Ovis aries: one gene and its partners. The protein of the gene in region 2 purifies or fractionates together with the protein of the main gene of each other region. This does not show direct contact. Links are inferred from orthologs where the notes say so. Each region holds a gene or a part of one and is shown on either strand. Other genes may lie near its edges.

The links.
Region 1: the proteins of AP3S1 (region 2) and AP3M1 purify together in Homo sapiens (co-immunoprecipitation; 4 studies listed by BioGRID and IntAct, counting the BioPlex papers as one, with this or other methods). This does not show direct contact. The link is inferred for Ovis aries from reciprocal best matches to the Homo sapiens genes AP3S1 and AP3M1.
Region 3: the proteins of AP3S1 (region 2) and AP3B1 fractionate together in Homo sapiens (co-fractionation; 5 studies listed by BioGRID and IntAct, counting the BioPlex papers as one, with this or other methods). This does not show direct contact. The link is inferred for Ovis aries from reciprocal best matches to the Homo sapiens genes AP3S1 and AP3B1.

What each region holds. Positions count from the first base shown.
Region 1 is NC_056078.1:29,212,113-29,215,764, forward strand, and holds part of AP3M1 (AP-3 complex subunit mu-1), read right to left. Parts: intron 2,372-3,652; coding exon 2,286-2,371; intron 1,607-2,285; coding exon 1,473-1,606; intron 636-1,472; coding exon 428-635; intron 1-427. UniProt on the Homo sapiens protein: Part of the AP-3 complex, an adaptor-related complex which is not clathrin-associated. The complex is associated with the Golgi region as well as more peripheral structures.
Region 2 is NC_056060.1:4,758,328-4,761,979, forward strand, and holds part of AP3S1 (AP-3 complex subunit sigma-1), read left to right. Parts: intron 1-2,423; coding exon 2,424-2,531; intron 2,532-3,652. UniProt on the Homo sapiens protein: Part of the AP-3 complex, an adaptor-related complex which is not clathrin-associated. The complex is associated with the Golgi region as well as more peripheral structures.
Region 3 is NC_056060.1:9,383,764-9,387,898, forward strand, and holds the start of AP3B1 (AP-3 complex subunit beta-1), read right to left. Parts: upstream 2,826-4,135; 5' UTR 2,679-2,825; coding exon 2,551-2,678; intron 1-2,550. UniProt on the Homo sapiens protein: Subunit of non-clathrin- and clathrin-associated adaptor protein complex 3 (AP-3) that plays a role in protein sorting in the late-Golgi/trans-Golgi network (TGN) and/or endosomes.

The DNA of each region.
Region 1 (3,652 bases), on a different chromosome or scaffold from region 2:
GTAGAAGAGTATGAAATAATGCTTTTAAATTAAAAAGGAAGAGAAAGATCTTAATTTCTTAACAATTAATACACTGTAATATCTATTAACCATTAATAGATTATTATATGCACATAATGCTTTTCTCTTTTTAAAAAGTTTTTATATCTTCCTCATTGAAGAGTTAGTGAACCTCTGGATTATCAATGTATAAGAAAAGGCAGATTCTGAAGGAAGAAGGAATGAATCTCACTTTTCTGCTCATCAACTTAGCAGCAGATGCAAGATTCTCTCCTGTGGCAGAGCACAGCACAATCTGCATTCTAGGCTGTTAGAGCTTTAATTTCAACCAAGATATTAGACCCTTCCCTCTGTCCTCCCATGTCCCCAAATCACAAAATAAGGATTGCAGAAACACTTGCTCACTCTTGATTTTAGGTGACTGTACCTTGGTAACTGGATCAAAAGTATAGCTGCCTTGTGTTGGTGTCAGGTTCATATTCAACACAACTTTCGGCATGTGAACGGTCACCGTGATTGCTTCAATAGTTTTCCCCATATTCTGCTTTGGTCCAATTGTAATATCAAATCTACCACAAGAACTGTTCTCCTTAAAACTGATGCTGTGTTTCACATATACTGGTATTGCCACTAGACTAAAAAGAGAAAGACAGACACAACCACAAAAAACATACAATTAATAGTGTGAGCTCTGGAGGTGGCACAAAAACCCTAGTATAGAATATCCAATACCCGCAGAACCGCAGGTTCAGTATCTGAGCCAGGGCAGTTGAGTACAGCGGTGTTGTGGAACCACTGTGCCAGAAATTATACAATTTCTGAGCAGTAAGTATACAAATCAAGATAAAATTATAGCATCAATAATTGGCACAAACAGTCCTGGTTTCAAGAAATGAATTAAGATCCCAGAGAAAGATAATTTCGAATTACACAAACTAAATATATCAGTTTCTCTGTGATAAGAGCCAAGAAAAAATTCCTCTGCTTTTAAGTTCTGTTTTGATGTTGTCCAAATACTTTCTGATGTTTTCAAGGGACAAACCAGCTACAACCCAGGATGCTAAATCATTCATTTAAACCTCAGTGCAGAGAAGAGTGACTTCAAGCCAGTTAGTTGAGGGATGTCCTGGAGAACTACAGGTAAGTCTGTCTCCTTCTATCAGCCATAATGTCCACAGATCATAGTAAAATTATGGCATGGGTTCATGGTTTCGTCCAGGTTATGCATGGTCCCAAGTGCTTGCTCTAAGGTATATATTTACTATTACTCTATACTCTTAAGATTCAAAGTATACTAATTATATTTTCCGCATATATTTTCACCAGTTTGTTCTGGGTCTCCTGGTGAGCAATGGCTAAAGGGAGCAATGGTGAATTCAAGTAACCAACTGTTAGAATGAAACAGGGAAAAAGTGAGTTCTACACAGCACACTGATAGATGACAGGAGATTATGGTTGATACAACAACATACTTCTGTGAGCTGACACGGTATGATATGAGTCGGAAGTTTCCATCTGGAGGAATAAACGACAGAACTCTTTCAGATTCCCAACGCTTGAACCGAATGCAGGGGTGGAAGCTGACATCATCTAGAAGCCTTGGATTCTGCCATGGAAAAGAGAAGACAAGCATATTCATAAAGTAAAACGAATATGGCAACTCTAGTCAGATATATTATGAGATCTGAGAAATATGCTTCCTTAAGATAAAGCAGTCATGTAAGTTTATTCAGGCTTATCGTTTCACAATGCTTTCAAGTGTACAAATATTTTATATACATTATTATTTGAATTTCAATAATTCAATTCCAGTAATTCCCATGAGGTAGAAAATGTGAGTGGTTTCATTTCCACTTCATAGATGAAAAAACTGAGGTTCAAAGAAAGCTCAAGGCCAGGACAAGTTAGAGGCACAGACAGCATCAGGGCTCAGTTCTCTTAGCAGTTCTCAGTAGTGTAGTATGCCGAATCTAAAATGATGAAAAGATCAATGCCTTTTCATACCAACAGAGCATATAACAACTCAGTAAAAGCAGCACTACATATCCGCAGCAGCCAGCCAGCCATTTAAGCTACTTCTAACATACTCAGAGGCAAAGCCTCTCCACAGCCTATCCATAAAGGCAGTGCTCATCATGTAAGCTACTGTCTTTGGAAGCTGTGCTAGGAATACTTCTTACATAATCCAATGTGATCTGAAAGAAGCATGTATCAGTATTTATCATTTCATTTAGTACTTCATATATATTAGGCACGAAGGAGTTACAAAACAGAGCAAAACTTACCATGAAAGAGAGGGAAAGGTCAGGCATTCCAGAGAGCTTAATGCAAGCATCGATGACCCCCTGAATTTCTGCAAAGACTGTAGATCCTAAAGGAATAATAAAGGTATCACTGGAATATGCATGCATTCTAGTAAAGTAGCTCTACCCTACTAGAGCTATCACTATATCTGAAGTAATGGAGATATCTCCCAGGTGTCAGACATACTGAAGCTTTGTACATCTATTAAAAGGTTAGTGGACAGAGGATCCATTACACCAGTTTAGACAACTTCTTTACTGAGTGCCAAGGCTGTTCCTGTCTCCGGTTGGAACAGGATGATTCTAAGGAAAATCAAACCCATCCTTATCTTTATAGAGTCAGCCTTGTAAGACTGCTGGATGTGAAGTTAAAATACTTTTTTTCCACTGACTTTTAAAATTAAAAAAAAAAAAAACTATTCAATTTTTAAAGGTTACTTTCCATTTATAGTTATTACAAAACATTGGCTATATTCCCTGTGTTTTACAGTGTACTTGTGAGCCTGTCTTACCCCCAGCTGTTTGTACCTCCCATTCTCCCACCCCTTTACTGCCCCACTCCACACTGGTAAACACTAATCTGTCCTCTGTATCTGTGAGTCTGCTTTTTTTTTGTTAAATTCATTTGTTTGTTGTATTTTTTAGATTCCACATATAAGTGATATATAGTATTTATCTTTCTTTATCTGGCTTATTTCATTTAGCATAATGTTCTTCAAGTTCATCCATGTTGTGCAAATGGCAAAATTTCATTCATTTTTATGCTGAGTAATTTTCCATTGTGTACATATATACATCTTCTTTATCCATTTATCTGTTGATGAATACTTAAGCTGCTTCCACATCTTGGCAACTGTAAATAATGTTTGTTTGAACATTTTTTTTTTTGAAGTTCAAATATTTTAAATAAAATTAGCCAAGTTTCTAATGAAATGTTAAAAAGTAGGAACCATAATTCTTTAACAGTACAGCAACTATTCCATACAATGGAATTTTTATAATAAAAATGCAACTCACTGTAGAGATAATTGTCTGTAATTCACAGTAAGTCATTTTCACATACCAACTAGTGGTGTGACCTTTAACAGGTTATTTAACTCTTCTAAGTCTCAGTTTCCCCATACATAACATGTGAGAGTTGGACTAGATATCTTTAGTAAAATATTACGATTCTAATACAGTACTGTTCTTCAGTCTGGGGTCTTTACTAGAAGGACTGCACACAAAGTGGTTGTAAAAAGTATGGTGCACAGTAGACATACACTACATATCAGGCTGGATAAATGGCAAGATAAATGAATACACGATAATTAGCTTAAAGTAAGGTTATTTACTCTGATTTACAAACG
Region 2 (3,652 bases):
TTTCTGCTTTTATTTTGTTTGTTAAGGAAGAATAATTTCTAGAATTTTTCAGAATTGGAGTATGAAGTGTCCAAGTTTCCAAAATGAAACATTAGTAAATAATGATAAGATATTTTAAAAATCATGAATATATTTGCATGAAATCCTAAAAGAATGAAAATTGAATAGCTTAATTCTATATTTAACTTTTTAAAAGCTTTTGTTTAAAAAAAAAAAAACCTGTAAGGTACTGTGCTACAGTACCTTTCATGAATTTGTTTAATCCTTACGATGACTCTGTGAGGCACCTGTACTGTTCTGCCTCTGTTTCGCAGATAACAATCAGAGAGGTCAGGTAACTGCTGAAGGGAGTGCAGCTAATAAGCTGCAGAGTCAGCATTCACACCCATCTAATTCCACAGTCTCCAGTCTCCATGCTGCCACGTCATTTTAAAATTGCATATTGTAGCACAGTATACTGCTCTTTGACACCCACTTCAGCTCTGAATTGGTGATTTTTGATTCAGTAAATTCCTTTTGATAAAACACCTGGGTTATAGTTTTTCTCCCCAATGGAAAATGATATTTTTGTCATTGTAATGTTTTTGATAATGAAAAATCTGAGTAATTAGATATGTAGAGAGAGCTTTGGGGTAAAAGTATTATTAAAGGTAAAAGTCGCTCACTCTTTCCAACTCTTTGTGACCCCATGGACTGTATATTCTCCTAGGCAGAATACTGAAGTGGGTAGCCTGTTGCTTCTCCAAGGGATCTTCCCAACCCAGAGATCAAACCCAGGTCTCCTGCATTGCAGGAGAATTCTTTACCAGTTAAACTACAAGGGAAGCCCAAGAATACTGGAGTGGGTAGCTTATCCCTTCTCCAGCAGATTTTCCCGACCCAGGAATCAAACTAGGGTCTCCTGCATTGCAGGTGGATTCTTTATCAACTGAGCCCAAAAGTATTATTAAAGTACCTATAATATAAAGAAAGCACCACTTCCTATAATATAACAAAAGCGTCACTTCCCAGGTGGCGCTATGCTATGCTAGAAAGAAAAGTAAGTGAAGTCGCCCAGTCATGTCAGACCCTTTGTGACCCCGTGGACCTACCAGGCTCCTCCATCCGTGGGATTTTCCAGGCAGGAGTACTGGAGTGGGTTGCCATTTCCTTCTCCAGGGGATCTTCCTGACCCAGGGAGTGAAGGTGAAGGTGAAGGTGAAGTCGCTCAGTCATGTCCGACTCTTTGCGACCCCGTGGACTGTAACCTACTAGGCTTCTCCGTCCATGGGATTCTCCAGACAAGAATACTGGAGTGGATTGCCATTTCCTTCTCCAGGGGATCTTCCCGACCCAGGGATCGGACCTGGGTCTCCCGCATTGGAGGCAGACACTTTAACCTCTGAGCCATCAGGGAAGCAAAACCGGGGTCTTTTGCATAGCAAGCAGACTCTTTACCATCTGAGCCACCAGGAACTCAAAAAGGCCTTGTTGCCTCCCGTCGGGAATCAAATCCCAGTCTCCCATATGACAGGCGGAAATACTCAGCACTCTACTAACAAGGATGCTAAGTCATTTCAGTCTTGTCCGACTCTGTGCACCCCTTTGGACTGTAGCACGCCAGGCTCCTCTGTCCATGGGATTCTCCAGGCAAGGATACTGGAGTGGGTTGCCATGCCCTTCTCCAGAGGAATCTTCCCAATATGGGGATCAAACCTGCGCCACTTGTATCTCCTGCACTGGCAGGCAGGTTCTTTCTCACTAACGCCAAAGAGTCTGCCTGCCAGTGCAGGGGATAGGAGAGACAGCAGTTTGATACCTGGATCTGGAAGATCCCCTGGAGAAAGAAATGGCACTCCACTCCAGTATTCTTGCCTGGAAAATTCCGTGGACAGAGGAGCCTGGTGGGCTACAGTCCATGAGATTGCAAAGAGTCAGACATGACTGAGCAAATGAGCACAATATGAAAAAAAAATTACTTCATTTTAAATCCAGAGCTAGTAGTAAAGCCACATAGCCTTATTAAGTACCTTGAGCATAAAACAGCTTAATAATTATTGATGAAGAGTCTGGTATAAAAGGCCCTAATAGGTCATTTTTTTTAGCTTTAATTTGGATACTATAATCATGGTAGCTAATGTTTATAGATTATTTATTTTGGGGGTGCTTCCAAGGTGGTTGACCTCACTTAATCTTCTCAGCCCTCTAGGAAGGAGATATTATTATTATCATCCCTGTTCTACAGCTCATTAAACTAAGATTTAAAGAGGTTTGTATAATTACCTAAGGCTTCACAGCAGTGACATAAGTGTATTATGAACTCTCACTCCAAATTATTTTTATTTTACAGCTCATAAAACAAGACACAGCAGTATTTGAAAGAAAAATTACTGGAATCACGAAACATAGTTTTCCTTATGGATGTGTATTATATTTTCCTTTAGGTTCACAATATTCTTGCAGAAATGGTGATGGGGGGAATGGTATTGGAGACCAACATGAATGAGATTGTTACACAAATTGATGCACAAAATAAACTGGAGAAGTCTGAGGTAAGAATGGCAAGTGCTCTAGTTAATGAAGGGAGGAAGCATGATCATAAATTATGCATGGTTTGCGGCTTTCACCGTCTGTCCTTCAGTATCACCCTTTAGTACAGTTGGTAGGCTTATTCGGTTTTGAAAATAAATGGAATATACACATTTTAGTATGTTAAATGTTCTGTGACCACTATCCACCAAATAGTTTTGTGTATTCTTTTAGCCACAGTCATAATTGCTTTGAGTAATAAATAAAATTCCCAATTCTTATTGCTTAAAAAAGAAGTTATTTACTTGAATAGTGGAATCAGTATTTGTTACATTCTTAGTCATTAATTATCCAAGAAATCTTAGAACTGGTTTTCAAAGATACATGAATTTAATGTTTTATAAAACTATTTCTGAAAAAGGAAGGGAGAGAAAATGGAACTCTCATAAGGAAGTAATATCAATAATAGGTGCTTAGTAGGCCTGAATGCACATTGAAAAAAAAGACATTCAGCACTCTAATCTTTTATTTCTGGATCCTTGTCAAAGGTCACGGACACGTTAGCTAAATCATATATACTTCATACAGTGGCCCATGTCTTCATGGCTTTTGTTGGATTCTAGAAGAGCAAGATTTGGTGATAAACAGCTGACTTTGTGCTGTTAGGCTGAGTGAATGAGGACCAACCAGCACTTTAGCCTTGTGTAAAACTCTACTTTATAATTGCATGCTTCTTCCCTCAATAACAAGGCTGAATATCAATAACAAAGCTGAATATAACGGGTGCTGAAGCTGAACCACTCATGTGGGCATTATTTTAGTGGTTTCTTATTGCTGTAGAAGAAATTTAGAAAGATGAATAGTCTTGATACCTCATTTAACACTATACATGTTTGAGGATACCCTTACCTTTGATATGTATAGTCATAACTCAGAGTAGGAAACTAATTTTATTTATAATTATTAGTACAGGTGTTTGGATAATCTAAAGTAAATATTACTATAAAAGCAGAGAGATATTAAAAATATGCTAGTATTGATTTATAACAGGTGAGTTGTGAAGAATTTTTATCTTGTTGGCTCTTTAAAGGATCAGCATAACAAAATGCTGTGCTCATTGTAATTAAATGAAATACAGGATGGT
Region 3 (4,135 bases), about 4.6 Mb from region 2:
TTTGCAAACTCAAAATCATTCAAAGTAAATCATCAAAAATGAGACCAGAGGTTGTGGGAGAAATGGGTGAAGAAAGTCCAAGGCACAAAGTTCCAGCTATAAAGCAAATAAGTCAGGAGGATATAATGTACACCATGGTAACTACAGTTAATAATATTGTATTACATATTTGAAAATCACTAAAAGCGAATCTTCAAAGTCCTCATTCGAGGGGAGGGGGGAACCAAACTGTAAGTATGGTGACAGATGTTAACCAGACTTGCTGTGGTGATAATTTCTCAATACATAAAAAAATCTACTGAACATTATGGTGTATATCTGAAATTAACATGTTGATGTCAATTATACTTTGATTAAAAAAATCAGAGTACAGGATTAGGGTAAGCTTGAAGTTTTTTACATAAATTTTGTCATTTGGGTTTTTTAAAAAGGCAAGAAATATCACATTTTTATAAATGAGAGAATGTAAGCTCAAGAGAGGTTAAGTGACCACTTCCAGAACACAGGTCCCTGTTTCTGTACAACTGCACTAGTTTGCAATTCAATGGCCAAAATGTTTCTAATTCCTGAAAGCCTCAAGGTCATACACTCTCTACGACTAGTAAAGTTTTAATGATTTGATTGCATTCTCTAATAAGATATAATTATTTCCTTCTCCAGGGGATCTTCCCCACCCAGGAATCAAACCCAGGTCTCCTACATTGCAGGCAGATTCTTTACTAACTGCAATACAAGGGAAGACCAAGGTACAATAAACGTTGTCAAGCAGCATATCCAAATACTCAAGAGAATGGGCTCTGAGATGAGACTGTGAGCTCAAACTCAGGCAGCTCAGTGTTCTAGTTCTGTTATCTTAGGCAAATTAACCATTTGTGCTCCAATTTTCTCATCTGCAAAGTGGAATCAAAGTATTTTTGGGTTGCTCTATATCCTCTGTGGCACCTCAAAGTTACAGAATAATTTTCCGTAAGTCATACTCACTCAGCCAGACCAAATGGTCAGGAGGACCAAATGAGATAATCAATGTAAAGTAGTGTGCAGAAGTACTCAAAGTCAGCTATTTTCATTTCAACTCCAACATGCTCAGTCACCTCAGTAACACTGGTCACAGTCAAAACCACACATTTTTTTCAATATTAGACCCAAATCTGACAAAATAGGAAATGAAAGGCTCTAAGAGGAAAACACCTTAGAAGTTCACAATCCATAAAAGTAGATCAACTGTAAGCATATCACATGTAAAACAGACTCTACAGACTTAAACATTAATTTAACAGTTGAAATTTCTGCTAATAGAACAACAGAACTGCAACAAGCTTCTTGTTGGAATAATCCATCATCTAAATGCATAGAAGGAAAAATGAAAAATTACTGAAGTTACATTACTTATAAACTTTGCTAACCTGAGAATAAGGAAATAAACAAAAAACTCTATTCCACACACTCCACACAGGTTTCAGTTAGCTTAATACAGTCAAAATGTAACCTCAACTTCAACTACTAGCAATTTCCAGAATGCCTTTTAAAATAATTTTTTAATTACATTAAATTTTAATCAAATAAATTATTTAATTAAATAAAATGAATTTTAATTTATCTTTCTGACACCGCAAGGCCACCAGCATAGCTACTTTACCTTAAGTTCAGCATAAATCTAGTGTTAGCCTATTATGTTCACTAAGTACTGAGAGATCAAAAATAAGAAAAAATGTAAAAATTATTACCAAAAAATGCAAAGTTACCAGAATTCTGTAAGTTTAAAATCACTCTCTCTCCCTCACCACACACACAAAAAACAATGAGCGGGGTGTTTTCTTTCCCTTTTTCGGTGGTACTTAAAATACTCGTAATAACTTTAAAAACACACACACGTATACATTATTTAGGGTTCATTTTTAAAATCCACATTATTTGCAAAATTGTGCCACTTGCCCACACTCTAAATATTCTCCTCATACGCTTCTTACTGTTTCCTAGCTTTGTTTTTTGGTTTGGGGGTTGTCTTATACTTTTGGTGGGGGGTTTTGTTTTTTCTTTTTTGGTCTGTAATGCAAAAGACATTTTCCGGGAACACTGGTGCCTGAATAAACCAGCTTGTTCATTCATAAAGCGCCTAAAACACCTCCTTGCTTCTACACTCAAGAGTCACAGAACAGGTTCCCATAAGACACAATCTAACTTTCCCTCTCAGCTCCCCAAACTTGAATCCTTCCACCCTAGAGAGAGAATTTCTCCAGGTGGCATCAAGCAAACTTTAAACTAGCTTGAAGTGTTTGCTCAAAATTCAGACTCCTGGGCCCCAGACCAGTCGGGGTCTTTGGGGATGGCACCTAAGCGGTCCCAATGGTTCTTTTTCACTAAAGTCTGAAAACTCCTAGAGAACCCCTCCACACACTCAACCCACACTCCCAACAACTCCCACCACTCCCAAGCGATAGCGCGGCAGGAAACGCCCGCTCCGCTCCCGGACGGTCTCAGGGCGACCCTGCCCCTGTCCCGGGAGCCCCAGCCCCTCAGTCCCGTCCCCACACCCCAAACCTTTCTCCTCACTTCTTCATATCGCTGCTAAAAAGGCCGAAGGCGCCGGAGGGGGAAATGGTTGAGGTCGCCTCCTGACCCAGCTCCGTCGCCTCCCCTCCTCCCGACTGCTCATTGTAAGCGAAGCTGTTGCTGGACATCGCCGCGGGGTCGCCGGGTGTCGAGCTGGTCCTGCCCGGGGTTCTCTCTGACGGGCTCCGGTCCCAGCGACTGGAAACAAAACTAGTTCTCGTGCAGAGGGGCGCGCGCAGGCGCTTCCGGACTCGTCACGGCTCCCAAGCCGACCCGGCGGGCCACCCCCTGCGCATGCCCAGTGTGCGTGCGGCCAGAGCCCACCCCCCGGCCACTCCCGGGCCGGACTGGAGTTCCCGCCTCCGGGCTTTTGAGGTAGCCGAGCGGCTCGAACCCAGCCTCTGCGCTAGGCAGGCCCTCAGCGGGCTAAAGACTAAGCTCTTTTTAGAGGTGGGGGTTTTTTTTGGAGACAGATACCCACGTATCCATTTTGGTCCCTTAGGAGATTCCCCGGGCCGGACACCTCTTTTTTTGGATTCTTGTTGTAAACCAGAAGTTTTCAGATTTCTCCTGAAACACCATTTAACACACCAGATCAACTTTGCTAAACTTAATTAGGACTGCTTTTCCTGTTTAGGCTGGTTTCTAATGCTTTCCCTCCAGCCTGCTGAGTCTTGCTGTTACTTCTGCCCCAGGCAATCTTTATGCAGAGCTCTGAGTTTTAAGGAAGTTTCTAAAACCCTGTCTTTCTGGGATCTGCCACCGCCAAGATGGGATCATTGTAGTTTCAAAGGAAAATCCTGGGGCCATTGGTTCCAAGGAGCTAACGGCGTGCTTCCTACTGGCGTTTAAAAACAAAAAAATAGAGCTGTCCCGAACACCAGAAGTAGCCCATTATCTGGGCACCTCTTTTTGTTCTTCTTGTGGTAGCACTTACTAAAGTTTTAAGGGGAGTCAGGCAGAAAGTTGCCTGGCTCCAGAGTAGCACGTGAGAAACTTTTTCAGGAGTAACTTGCCCCCCTCACACCTGATATTTCGGGTGGATTTCAGAGCATGCTGCGCACTATTTCCACTGCTTCCGGTTTAGGCAAGCTCCGAAACCTAGAGCCTGGAAGTTAGAAACTGTAAGGGGACTAGTGAAACACAGGGCTTCCCTCGTGGTTCAGAAGGTAAAGAATCCCCCTGCAACACGCGAGACCTGGGTTCCATCCCTGGGACCGGAAGTTCACCTGGAGAAGGGAATACCTATGCACTCCAGTATTCTCGGGAGGAGGCAATGGCACCCCACTCCAATACTTTTGCCTGGAAAATCCCATGGACGGAGGAGCCTGGTAGGCTGCAGTTCATGGGGTCGCGAAGAGTCGGACACGACTGAGCAACTTCACTTTCACTTTTCACTTTCATGCATTGGAGAAGGAAATGGCAACCCACTTCAGTGTTCTTGCCTAGAGAATCCCAGGGACGGGGGAGCCTGGTGGGCTGCCATCTATGGGGTCGCAAAGAGTCAAACTGAGCGGCTCACACACACACACACACAGTAAAACACAACCCATAGGGCCAGTGCGTGGGGCGGGTCCGAAGTGTA